Tamandua tetradactyla: one gene and its partners. The protein of the gene in region 1 interacts with the protein of each later gene in a pairwise test. Links are inferred from orthologs where the notes say so. Each region holds a gene or a part of one and is shown in the gene's direction. Other genes may lie near its edges. The genes, in order: HOMEZ, SH3RF2 and LRRC7.

Region 1 (3,749 bases):
AGATGAGAACATAGGTCCAAAGATGGGAATGGTCAGGGAATTTGTCAGGGCAGCTTCAGTTGGGGCTTAAACCCAGACATCCTGACCACATCCCATCCCCAGACTAGGAAATAGGCCTCTACACAGTCAGACACACTGTTTTTCATGACAAGGGATACATCATAAATGAACACGTGTTTCATTTTCTGCTGGTACATCATTCCCTCCCCTATTCACTTGAGGAGAAACAAAGTGGACATATACTTTTCACTGTGTTCCCAGTCTTGGCACTCTTTTGGGTGACGTTACTAAAGAGCAGTGCATCAACCCGTTGGAAAGCTAACCTGGGGGGGAAAAATGAAAGTTGTTATGTGAACCCCTGAAAACCACTTAACAGAGCCTCTCCACCCCCATCCCAGTGCAGTCCTGTCCACTATGTCCAAACCCACTAGTGCTGGACTTCATTTCAGCTCTGTCAGATAAAAAAAAAACTCATTTTTGAAATAAAGTTGAAATATGAAAAAGTAATAAGATATTAAGAAGGACTCTTTGTTTGGGGCTAAAGATGGCAAGATGCCCTCCTCCATTTCTTCTTTGTCATCTCATTTCTTTAAAATCCTGTTCCCATTCTGTTCCTCTGTAGATGGAAAAGTTGGGTGGCAAAGAGATAGAGGAGTTGGGCAGTCCTGATATAAGACACCTCGGTAAGATCACACTACCGTTTGAGTAGCAGGAAAATTATCAGACTCAGAAATCTAGTGCTTTGGTTCTCTGGCACCCACACCAGCAACTGGTGCAGTTAAAGGGATCAGCTTGGTGGGAAAAAAAAGTGTTTTCCCTTGGGTATGGGCCATCTGAGTTGAATTCTGTTCTGCAAGCACTGGAAGGAAGAGTAAAACTCATTTCCGTATAATTAAGGTCAACTCTAAAGCAAGAATGAGAAATATGATGGAGAGGTAAAAGTCAAGGAACTATGACCAATTCAGAATGGAGTATGAGAAGTGGACTGACTAATAAAGGGAGGAGTCCTTGGAAAAGATCATGTTCTAACATAGTGTTGACTCCCACATCACTGAATGATGAAAGAGCCCAATTAGCCACAAAGTAGTGAGACAATGTTCCTACTAGGGAAACCCTAGCCAAAGAAAAATGAGATACTTCCTCATTGCATCATAATGACCAAGTTGTGATGTCACTGTAGAGTATCCACCCTTCAATATGTGTTGTAAATGAAGCCAGTTATGCTGAAGGGTAAGGTCAGCATGAGGAGCAGGTACCCAAGGAGAGGTAAGTGGGAGCGCTATGGTTCTTTCCATGGCTCATTGCTTAGGGTCTCCCTGTGGCCCCAATATTTTTCCAGACTTCTCACATCTTAGTTTGGCAGTAGGTTTGTCTGAAATATATCTTCTACAGACTCTTCAAAGTTGGGTTTGTTAGCTCAAATCCTCAATACTTGTAGTTCTGATCAGTCAGCCCTCAGTTCCCTCTGGCTCTGGATTTTCTTAGGAGACAGGACATAGAACATTGGAGCCAGAGGTCCCCTAAATGTGGGGCAGAAGCTGACCATATATATTTGGTGCCCTAGGGATAGATACAGATTTTTGGGTGCTTGGAGCATATAATTTTGGGGGTCCTTTTAAGGAAAAATGAATCCATATTACTAATACACAATTAGGCATAGAAGTGAACGTTTCAAAATGAAAAAATATAGCAACAAATTATGAAAGCTAACAAATACCACAATATCACAAAAGTAAGATTTTAAAAACTATCTGCTTGGTAAACCTACAGAATATCATTTTTTCTACTTTTTTGTGTGTGCTTTGATAGCTATTTCATATGATGGTTGTTTTGTTTGGAAAGTCTAGAGTTAATTGAATCTTTTTGTAGTTGATCACTTTTTTTTTTTTTTTTGGCATGGGCAGGCACTGTGATTCGAACCTGGGTCTCTGGCGTGGCAGAGTGAGAATTCTGCCACTGAGCCACCATCACACCGCCCCATGGTTGATCACATTTTAAAATTATTATTGGTAGTTTAGAAAAGTTTCACTTTCATACCTAGTGGTAGTGTCACAAATAATTAGGACTTTAGTCAACTTTGGGAAAACCTGTCAAATTTCTTTTATATATGTGATCTAATATTTTAGAGCATTTGAAATTTTCCTTTGCAATGACTAACTAATGTTATACGCCCTTTGAATTAATGACATTAGGAGTATTCCTGGAAACTATCTACATAAGAATTTATTCACAGAACTGCAAACCACATAAATATAGTTACTAAATCCAAACTAGGTGTATCCCCAACTCAGTTTCCTTAGCCAATTCTCAAATGCTTGTGGCCTTTCCATTGCCACCTGACAAAAAGGGAAGTGGGATGAAGGCGAAATCAGAAAGGAAAGAGTCATCAATCTTAGCCAATTGCAGTTAAAATATATAATTTTGAGATTTTACAAAAACCTATGATCATGTGAACACATTTCTGGGGCTCTTCCAGCCTGTGCACGTGTGGGCCCTGAAATTTCAACTTCCTTAGTCACAGGATAGATATGCCTCTGGTTAGCCCCTGCTTATCTGAATCAAGCAAAGGGAAGAATGTTTTCACCTAAAATGGGGGATTGACCTTTCTACAATGAAGATGAACTGATGAATCTCCTTTGTTCAACACTAATCCCTGGAAAAACTGGGAGGGTTACTGTCTGGCTAACTGTGGGATCCTCCCATCTCTGAAGTATCAAACGGAACCTTTTCCTCCCTGTACTCCCCCATCCCATCCATGCCATCTTCTAAAGCTTCAGGGTGAAACCTACATAAAAGAGACTTCACCCTGCATTCCAGATATTCTCCTCTTCCCTAAATTTGTCTTTGACTCTCCCTCCACTCCCAACTCTGGCAAGTGTAATCTTTCTGACACAAGAAAGGGAGCTGAATTGTTCATCTTTCACAATTCCAAGCCCATGATCAGTGATGTCCAGAGTGAGTCACTGAACCCGTCAGGGTCAGGTGCTTAGTTCCCACAGCCAGTTGCGTGGCTTTCCAGTCAAATGTGCACGAGTTCCTCCCAGTCAATACAGTTTCATTTAATTGTTTGGATTTAAAGGAATGATCTCCCCACTGGAAACTGCAGGCTGCTGCTGTCTAAAACGTTTCCCTCTTCCTTCCTGTTAGTTACAAAGCACTGGGGTATTGAAATAGTCACGATTTGGAAGACCGTCTGTATATTATACCACCAACCTCGGCTCCTTCCCTGAGGGACCAAAAGTTTCTAACTCTGAAGCTTAGTATGTGTTTTCTATTGTTTTTGTTGGATATTAGTTTGAAGAACATGGGACTGGCTGGTAGAAGTGAATATTGTTACTAAATGTAACTAAGGAGAGGAGAGAGACGGGAAAATTCAGGGCCAACAATGGAAAACGGAGCTCAACTCTGAAGCAGAGATGTATTTGTCTGGCAACTCTGAAAGCGCTCTAGACCTGAGCGGACCAATGAGGAATGTTTCCCTGGTGGGTCGGGGGGGGGGGGGGGGCGGGGGGAGGGAAGAGTTTTGAGGTATGCAGAACACAGGGCAAAGTTTGAGGCAGTTTTATAAACCATTGTAGATATATAAACTATTAAATCATCTAAACAGGTAAAAGACATTTTCAAAGCCCCACATGAGAAAAGAAGGGACACTTCTGAAAGATATTATTCCTAAATTTTAATTAGAAGACAAAGATCCTAAATATACAAACGTCTGGTCTAGAACTTTGTAGTGTGTGAGATAGTGCTCT
Region 2 (3,749 bases), on another chromosome or scaffold:
AACTTAGTAAAGAGCACAGAATACCAGTCTTTTACTGGCTGTGACTCCTGACATAAGTTATCTAACTTCAAAGTGAAAGTAAAGAAGGGTATAGTGTATCATAGGAATTTTTGGAGGATTAAATGGGGTAATAAAGGTAAAGCACTTAGAACGGTTCCGGGCCCAGGAAAAGGATAGCCTAATGTTAGGTGGTATTATTATTATTATTATTATCTATTTATTCTACTTGGATATCTTTGTAACTTTCCATGAAATGTATTAGCGATGAGCCAAGAAATATAAGTATTATTTAGGGACATAAAAAGACTACAGTGGGGGGAACAGCAGAGAGCTGGAGCGCATTGCTTTTCCGTAAAAAAAAACTCTTCTGTACACTTTATTTTTCAAGGATATGTATGTACTACTGGGACATTTTTAAAATTATTATTCTTTGAAGAGACGGAGTATATTGAAAGAGTTTATCAGAGGTACCATTAATATTTCTGCCCATTTCAGAGAAATCCTTGTAAAGTTTTTTGTGTTTTTTTTAAAACCGCACAATCACGTTGGCATAACTGAACACGTTTTAACTCGCCTTGGAAAGATAAGGCGCAAAGGTAAAAACATAAAACTTTGGAAATACTTGGCCTGGGGGGCTGGCTTACGTACTATCTCATAACCGCTTCCCAGAAATCCACCCAGTTCCGTAAAGGAAGGTTCCGTAGCAGAAAGCGAAGCCCTCCTGGGGGGGCGGGGCGGGGGTGGGGGGAGGAGAGTCCTGCCGGCGCGGCAGCCGGGCGGTGAGCGCGGTAATAGTGCTGCGTAAGGCGATCCCTCGAGTTGAGTAAGACTCCGAGTTGTTCAAGTTTTCCAGGCGGCCGCGGCGGCACTGGGGGGTGAGGAAGCGAGTCGCCGGGAGCGCGGCGGAGCGGACAAGCGAGCCGAGCTGAACTCCGCCGAGGTCACTCGCGCAAGGTTAGTGGCAGCGCGCTGGTCCCCAGCCCGCTGGTCCCCAGCCCGCCCGCGCCTGGCATCCTTGGAGAGGTGGCCGAGGAAAGCGAGGCGCCATCTCTCATGTGTACCGTCCGCCGTGCTTACTGGTGGGGCCTTCCTGGCTGCAGCGTTCACCCATACCTGGGCACGTGTGAAGGACTGCTGACTCTTTCCGAGGAGACTTTCCTAAGCTGGAGACTTCTTCTCAGGCGTCCACAGGGAAACTGTTCCTGAAACAGGGGTTCTTTACACACGCGCGCGCGCGCAGGCATACCTGCCGCACCTGTATGTTCTGTTCCATCCTGGGTTTTTGCAGGTTGCGGGCACAGTCCTGAATCCCTACCTGCTTCAGTTGAAATTGAAAACACTTGTCAGAGTAACTCAACAGGCTGTGCCACCTTACATTGCCGGGAGGAATCTTGTCTCTAAGGCTGTTTAAGACAATCTTGGTGAGCAGGCAAAGAAAGGGAGAGAGAGAGAGAGGAAAGCTCCCAGGTCGAGGCAAAACAATTTTGAAAATGGGTTGCTAGTAGAGATTTCTCTTGTACATTGTTAGATGAAAAATAATGGGGGAAGATGTATTGTGAAGGGAATAATTCTACATCTGATGTGATTCAGATAAACTTACCCACATCAACTAAACTTACCTGCATGTGGCGCAGATAATAGATTAACCTGGAGAGAGAAGGAGTAGATCTCTTCACAGAAATTACATTCTGGAGGGGCTCTGATTTGAGAATTGAGAGTGTCTGAGTGCTTTACCCAGATTTTAAAGGACCCCCTCCCAGCCCAGACTGGCAGAGAAGAGGGGGTGTGCCACTTCAGCAGGCCATTTTTGCTCTCTGCCTTTCCACACAGAGAGCCTGTGCGCAGTCTCTGCTGAATGCTGCTGGCTCCTGTTCCTTGCAGCAGGCAGGAGTCCTGTACCTGCTAGCACTGAATCAGAATGAGTCATTTGAAACTTGGGTGCCGGAACAAAGTACTTGCAAACTGCCTTATGAGACATTGCCTCAATGTAGGTGGGATATACATCTCAGAGCAGTCACAGTTCTATCCTCCCTTCTTTTCCCCTTCAAACAGGCAGGAAATCTGAGGCTCTGGAGAGACCGGCACTGCCCCCTCAGCTCGGCTGCCCCTACAATGTGGATGCTGCCCCTTCAGGTCAGGACTGGAGTGTTAAAATAAAATGGATGATGTGACGTTACTTGATCTTTTGGAGTGCCCTGTGTGTTTCGAAAAGCTCGATGTCACAGCCAAAGTCCTCCCTTGCCAGCACACCTTCTGCAAACCATGTCTACAGAGGATTTTCAAGGCCCGCAAAGAGCTGAGGTGCCCAGAATGCAGGACCCTGGTCTTCTGCAGCATCGAGGCGCTGCCAGCCAACCTGCTGCTCGTGCGTCTTCTGGACGGTGTGCGCTCAGGGCAGAGCTTGGGCAGAGGGGGCCACTTACGCAGGCCTGGCGTGTGGAGCCTGCAGGACAGCCCGAAAAGCAGGGCCAGCCCCCGAGGACTGCAGTCCGGCACTTTCCGGCTGGTGCCCAATATCAGGATCCACATGGATGGGGTAAGAGAGATCTTATTTGTTAGTATCGTGTCCATGTGGAGGTTGGATTTGTGTTTACCCAGAGTTGGGAAGGATCTTCTTGGAGTTGCACTTCCAAGAATGTTTGCGGTTGGTTCCCTACTAAGTTTCTGGGATCAGCGATCACTTTTCTGAAGTGTAGGTAGAATCCTAAGCCTGTCTAATCAGTCTGAGAATTCTCCTTAGAAGTGAGCATTTATTGAAGCCTCCCTAGGTGGTTCCTGTTTCTTGTACTGAAGGCGGCAGGACAAGGAAGGCCTCCCTGATTATGTTTTTGTCTTTCCCTTCTCTTGTTCTGAGGCCAAACTCGTGCATGGGAAATGTATGGAGGGTAGGAAAAAGAGAGAAAAACAAATCCAGCTGCTTGTTGCCTTTGAGATCTCTGAGAAATTTCCAATTTCAGGTTTTATTTTAATTTTACCCAAATCTGTCTTCCCACTCCCAATCATAAAGTGCCATTATGACAATGCTCATTCATAAACTGTTTGAAGCTATCAAGATACTTGACACTCAAAAATCGTGAAGGAGGGAAGCGTGTATGTGGGTGTACTGATTGATAGCAAATCCGGGCCATGAAATACAATGGATGTGTACAAGAGCCCTGCAGATGGATCTTACTTGACAAAATGAATAAGCCACGCATGAAATACATGCTAGGGGCTACAATAAAAAATGAATGGACATGGTAGAGCTGTACCGGAGATTGTCCGGTAATATTTTTGGTGTTTTAATAATACAAATCCATCTGTCCAACCCTGCAAGCACACCCTGTGGACTTTATCTGAACTGACTGTGAACCTTGCTATGGGATGCTTTGTAAGAGCACATCTCGAGAGAAGAATGTGGTCCTTGTGAGTCCAAAATAATTATTTGCACTGTCACCCCTGGAGTCAGTGTGCCAAAGTGAACATGGAAAGCTATGGCCTGGGTCATTGCATGTTTAGAATATCAAAGCTGCATTCTGTGAAGTCGTGCTGGTGAGCAAGCTATAAAGCTTTACTACTGACAGTAGAGTCCCATGACTCCCTGCTATTACAAGTGACAGTGTGTATGTGTGTGTGTGTGTGTGTGCGTGTGTGTAGAGAGGGGCTGGGCTTTCACGGATCCCTTCCCCACTCTGGAGAACAGGCCTGTGATGGGCATTCAGAACAAACTCATTTTCCTTCCAAAAACTCAACCCTCCCTCCCTTGTTCA
Region 3 (3,749 bases), on another chromosome or scaffold:
TCAGAGGGGCGGGCGAGGATTTCAAAAAAGGGGCTGAGGGTTGTGGACGTGGTCACCCCCTTCTATCCCTGGAAAATCTCCTTGACATTTTTCACACTTTGAAGCAGCTGCAGCTGGTGTCGTCGGAAAAGAGGGTGGAAAAAAAAGAGAGAGAGAGAGAGAGGAGGGGGGTGGGGGGGCGGGGAGAGCGGGAGACACAGCCAAGAGCCTGGAGCAGCGCCTCCTCGCCTGCCAATCCTGGCACCTGTGCGCGGAGCCACTGCACCGAGGAGATCCCCGGTCCCGGCGAACCCCGGGCCTGACGCCACGGACACCCAGCCCTTGGGCGGCGGGTTCTCGCCGGCGGCACCCGAAGCCGCCCACTCAGGCCAACGCCGCCGCCTGCAGCCGCGGGAGCGCACGGCCCCTCCGAGCCGCCGGCTGCGCCCCGGCCCCCGGGGATCCTCGCCCCGCAGAGGCTCGGCAGCCGGCAGGGGTAGGGGGGGCGGCTCGGAGTTGGGTGCACGATTCGGCTTTCCTGCTCGTCTCTTCTCCGCCCAGGATTTATTGTCTGTGGAGCCTTCTGGGGGGTGGGGACGAAGCTGCGCCTCCGCCACCGCCGCTGCCGCTTCTGCGGTCGCTAGCGCGGCGCGCAGGGCTGGCGGAGGCTGGGGAGTGGACGCGCGCCCGCTTCTCCCGCTGGCGCTTCGGGCTTTCCCTCGGCGGCTCATGGCGGGAACCTCTTCAGCCGTCCACCTGAAGGGCACCGGCGTCGTGGTCTAACGTGGCACCGCCTGGGATCCCCTTATTTTCCTCCTCTTCTTCTTCCTCCTCTTCTGCCGTCCTCCTCCTCCTCCTCCGAGGACCCTCGCGCCCACTTCACTGCGGACGCCGGAACACTTTAAGGAATAACCCTTGCAGCTTGCACGGCTCTCGAGAACCACATGGGCTGCTTCTCCCGCCTGCTATGTGAGTAGTACACCCTCGCGCGGTGGCCGAGGGGGCTCTGCGGGGGCCTCGCCGCCTCCGGCCGCAGCGATCGTAGGCGCGCGAGGTGGGGGACCCGAGCGGCCGGCCGGGGGCGGGGTGGGTGGGCAGGGTGGGAGTCTCCCGCGCTCTCTGGGAGCTGCTGGCTCGGTTGTCGGCGGAGGTGGCGGTGATGTGGGAGGTAGGTTGCGGGGCATTCAGAAATAGGGTGCTACTTGTGTGGGTGCATGGGAACGCCGAGTAGCCTGGGCTGGGAGGGGACCCTAAAGGGTTACATACTGCGAAAAAGAAGGAAAAGGGCTAGTGTTGGGCATTGGCGCTGGGACTGTTTGTCGTGCTGAGGTTAGGCTTAGCTCCTCTTTATTATCTCGGGTATCTCCAGTCAGCCTTTTTCCTGGAGGTGTCTCAGAGATGAAGCAATTGTTTGATCATGACACACACACACACACCCGTAAACTCACACACACTTGTGGCAGGTCTCAGTCGCCCTTTTTTTCTAGAAGGTATTGTATTACTGACTTGATATCTGTTTGAAAAATACATTTAGAAGATCCTTATGTCATTGGGGATTCGAGAGAAGGGGTGGGGGTTGGGGGGATAGTGGGGGACGAAGGTGCATGAAAGACTGGAGGACAGACTGAAGTGGGGAGCGATGGAGTGAAAGCTTTCACTGAGAGTCAGCGAGAACGATGCCTCCTGCCCCCTAAGCTTAGACAACTCCTGCCCCCACAGCTCCTTTGTGTTGCACCGCGAAGCCGGTGAACCTGGACTATTCCCAGTTGCAGCGCTGGGCTCCCTTCAGCATTTTGCGTCTTCCTCTGGAGTCATTAAGGATGCAGGACGCAGTTCAGGTCTTACGTGAAAAGAGGGAGGGAAGCACATTAGCATTACGGTAATCATGGCACCCTGGCTCACAGACAATTAGATTGGCCACCGGTGGTCTCTAGTCTTTATGTTTGCAGTCATGAAAGGGGATGGGGAGTGGGGGCTCAACTGATTGCTTTTGAAAAATAGCGTGACTTCATAATAACGGAGATGCTTGCAAAATTGCTTCATTACACTACTTCTCAGCCATCAGGGCTGAATAAAGGACCCGCCTCCGCCCACTCCTCCCTCTCTTTCTCCTCCCCAACAAGTCACAAAGCGACAGGGCTGGGATAGAGGGCCCAAGGCAAGTCGGAGTAGGGTTGGGGTCACTTTCACAACTCCTGGTAATCGTTTTCGAAGGCAACCATCTGCAACTCCCACGCTCCTTTCGTAGCTCACCTTCAAGAGGAATGAGAAAAAAAAGGGGATCAGTAAGACACACAAGTCCTCCACCTGCTCTTTTCGGTTACTTTCCCAATGCATTTTCAACACATCCAATTACCCTGCAGTGCTAACTGGGTCAGCACGTATATGTGTACCTGTATATGCTGAAATGTGGCTCTCCTGATAGATGAAAAAGCAATTTGTATGTGAGCGTATTTAACCTGGGCAAAATTTCTAAGCACAATAGAGATTTTGTAGCGTGGGCGAGGAGAGTGCATTCCAGCGAGAGCAGGACACGTGATCTCTCTAACGAGAGAGATACAGTATTAGGAATTCGATTTTCTTTGTTTCAAGCTGAGCCTATGAGATGCTCGGCATCCAGGTTGCTTTCCTCCTGTAAAAGGAAAAAATAACGAAGTTGGCCGAAGGCGAGAGTCACAGGAAGAGAAGCCCAGGTAGATATATCTGCAAAGGGCTTGTAATCTTCCGTCAGTGCCCTTTCCCCACCTCCCTCCAGCCGCCCCATCCAGAGCCCTATTTAAAATGAGGCATTCCCTTTGGGAGAGGCGGTTAAAAAGTTCTCCAGTCCATGCACACGTGGGTTCTCCAGCTCCTAAGAACCTGCTGCGGTTCGCAATAGATTCTGCCACCTCCCCAGTCCAGGTGTCACGCCTCCATCCAGGGAGGCGTCTTGAAAGCTGACTTCCAGGACTCTAAGTCAGCCACCAGGAGATCTTTTTAAAGAAAGCAGTATAGTGGAGGCATGTCACTGCTTCTTGCAAACCGTTGATGGCACCCGGGAGAGAATGAGAAAGTAGAGATATAGGAATAATTTTATTTTCCTTAAAAATAAGAGTTATAGGACTAAAGTACATTGGGGTTGATGTTCAGTGATGTCTGCGTTTGGACTCCTGGAGCTCTCTCAGGCCTGTGGAATGTCCTGAAGTCTGATGATTTGGCAGTTTAATGGAAGTGGAATTTGTGTCCAAAACTACTGCTTAATTAGCATTACCTGGCTTGTAGATTTGCTTTTTTAATTTCTCTTCCCATCAGGTTTTATAAGCCATCTTAATGGGCTGAAGTTTTAAAATGTAGGCTATTTCTGTCTATGCTGCATTGCATCATACAATATGTCATGCTAGGGAAAGCAGAGTCAATTTCCATGGTATCATATGAGGTGAGAGTTTCTTTATGCATTTTTAGACTTGGCTGTCCAAGAAAAGATGTGTACTTACCATGGCAACCCCTACATTCTCCATCACGTGTGACTGCACATATGCAGCTTCAGAATTAGAAACAACTCCTTAAAGAAAGGAAACCTGGCCAATTAAAGTAGTCACGATTTATTCAGATTTTTTTTTTGCACTGCTTTGGGATGGAATTAAATTTTATTAATTAAATTATCATAACCCTTTCTTTTAAAAGCTTTTAATATTTCTACTTCCTCTATAGAATAGAAGACCTAGCTTGAAGTGGTTTTGTGTATCTATGTCTTTGTTAGTTTGGAATTTAAAAATTGTGAGAATAAGTTA

What was found.
Region 2: the proteins of HOMEZ (region 1) and SH3RF2 interact in a two-hybrid assay, tested with the Homo sapiens proteins (2 studies listed by BioGRID). The two-hybrid records come from large-scale screens. The link is inferred for Tamandua tetradactyla from reciprocal best matches to the Homo sapiens genes HOMEZ and SH3RF2.
Region 3: the proteins of HOMEZ (region 1) and LRRC7 interact in a two-hybrid assay, tested with the Homo sapiens proteins (2 studies listed by BioGRID). The two-hybrid records come from large-scale screens. The link is inferred for Tamandua tetradactyla from reciprocal best matches to the Homo sapiens genes HOMEZ and LRRC7.

Annotation. Positions count from the first base shown.
Region 1 is NC_135340.1:31,586,548-31,590,296, forward strand, and holds the start of HOMEZ (homeobox and leucine zipper protein Homez), read left to right. Parts: upstream 1-1,133; 5' UTR 1,134-1,208; coding exon 1,209-1,266; intron 1,267-3,749. UniProt on the Homo sapiens protein: May function as a transcriptional regulator.
Region 2 is NC_135346.1:26,408,688-26,412,436, forward strand, and holds the start of SH3RF2 (E3 ubiquitin-protein ligase SH3RF2), read left to right. Parts: upstream 1-795; 5' UTR 796-954; intron 955-2,013; exon of another isoform or gene 2,014-2,052; 5' UTR 2,053-2,158; coding exon 2,159-2,536; intron 2,537-3,749. UniProt on the Homo sapiens protein: Has E3 ubiquitin-protein ligase activity. Acts as an anti-apoptotic regulator of the JNK pathway by ubiquitinating and promoting the degradation of SH3RF1, a scaffold protein that is required for pro-apoptotic JNK activation.
Region 3 is NC_135337.1:56,445,136-56,448,884, reverse strand, and holds the start of LRRC7 (leucine-rich repeat-containing protein 7), read left to right. Parts: upstream 1-905; 5' UTR 906-946; coding exon 947-948; intron 949-3,749.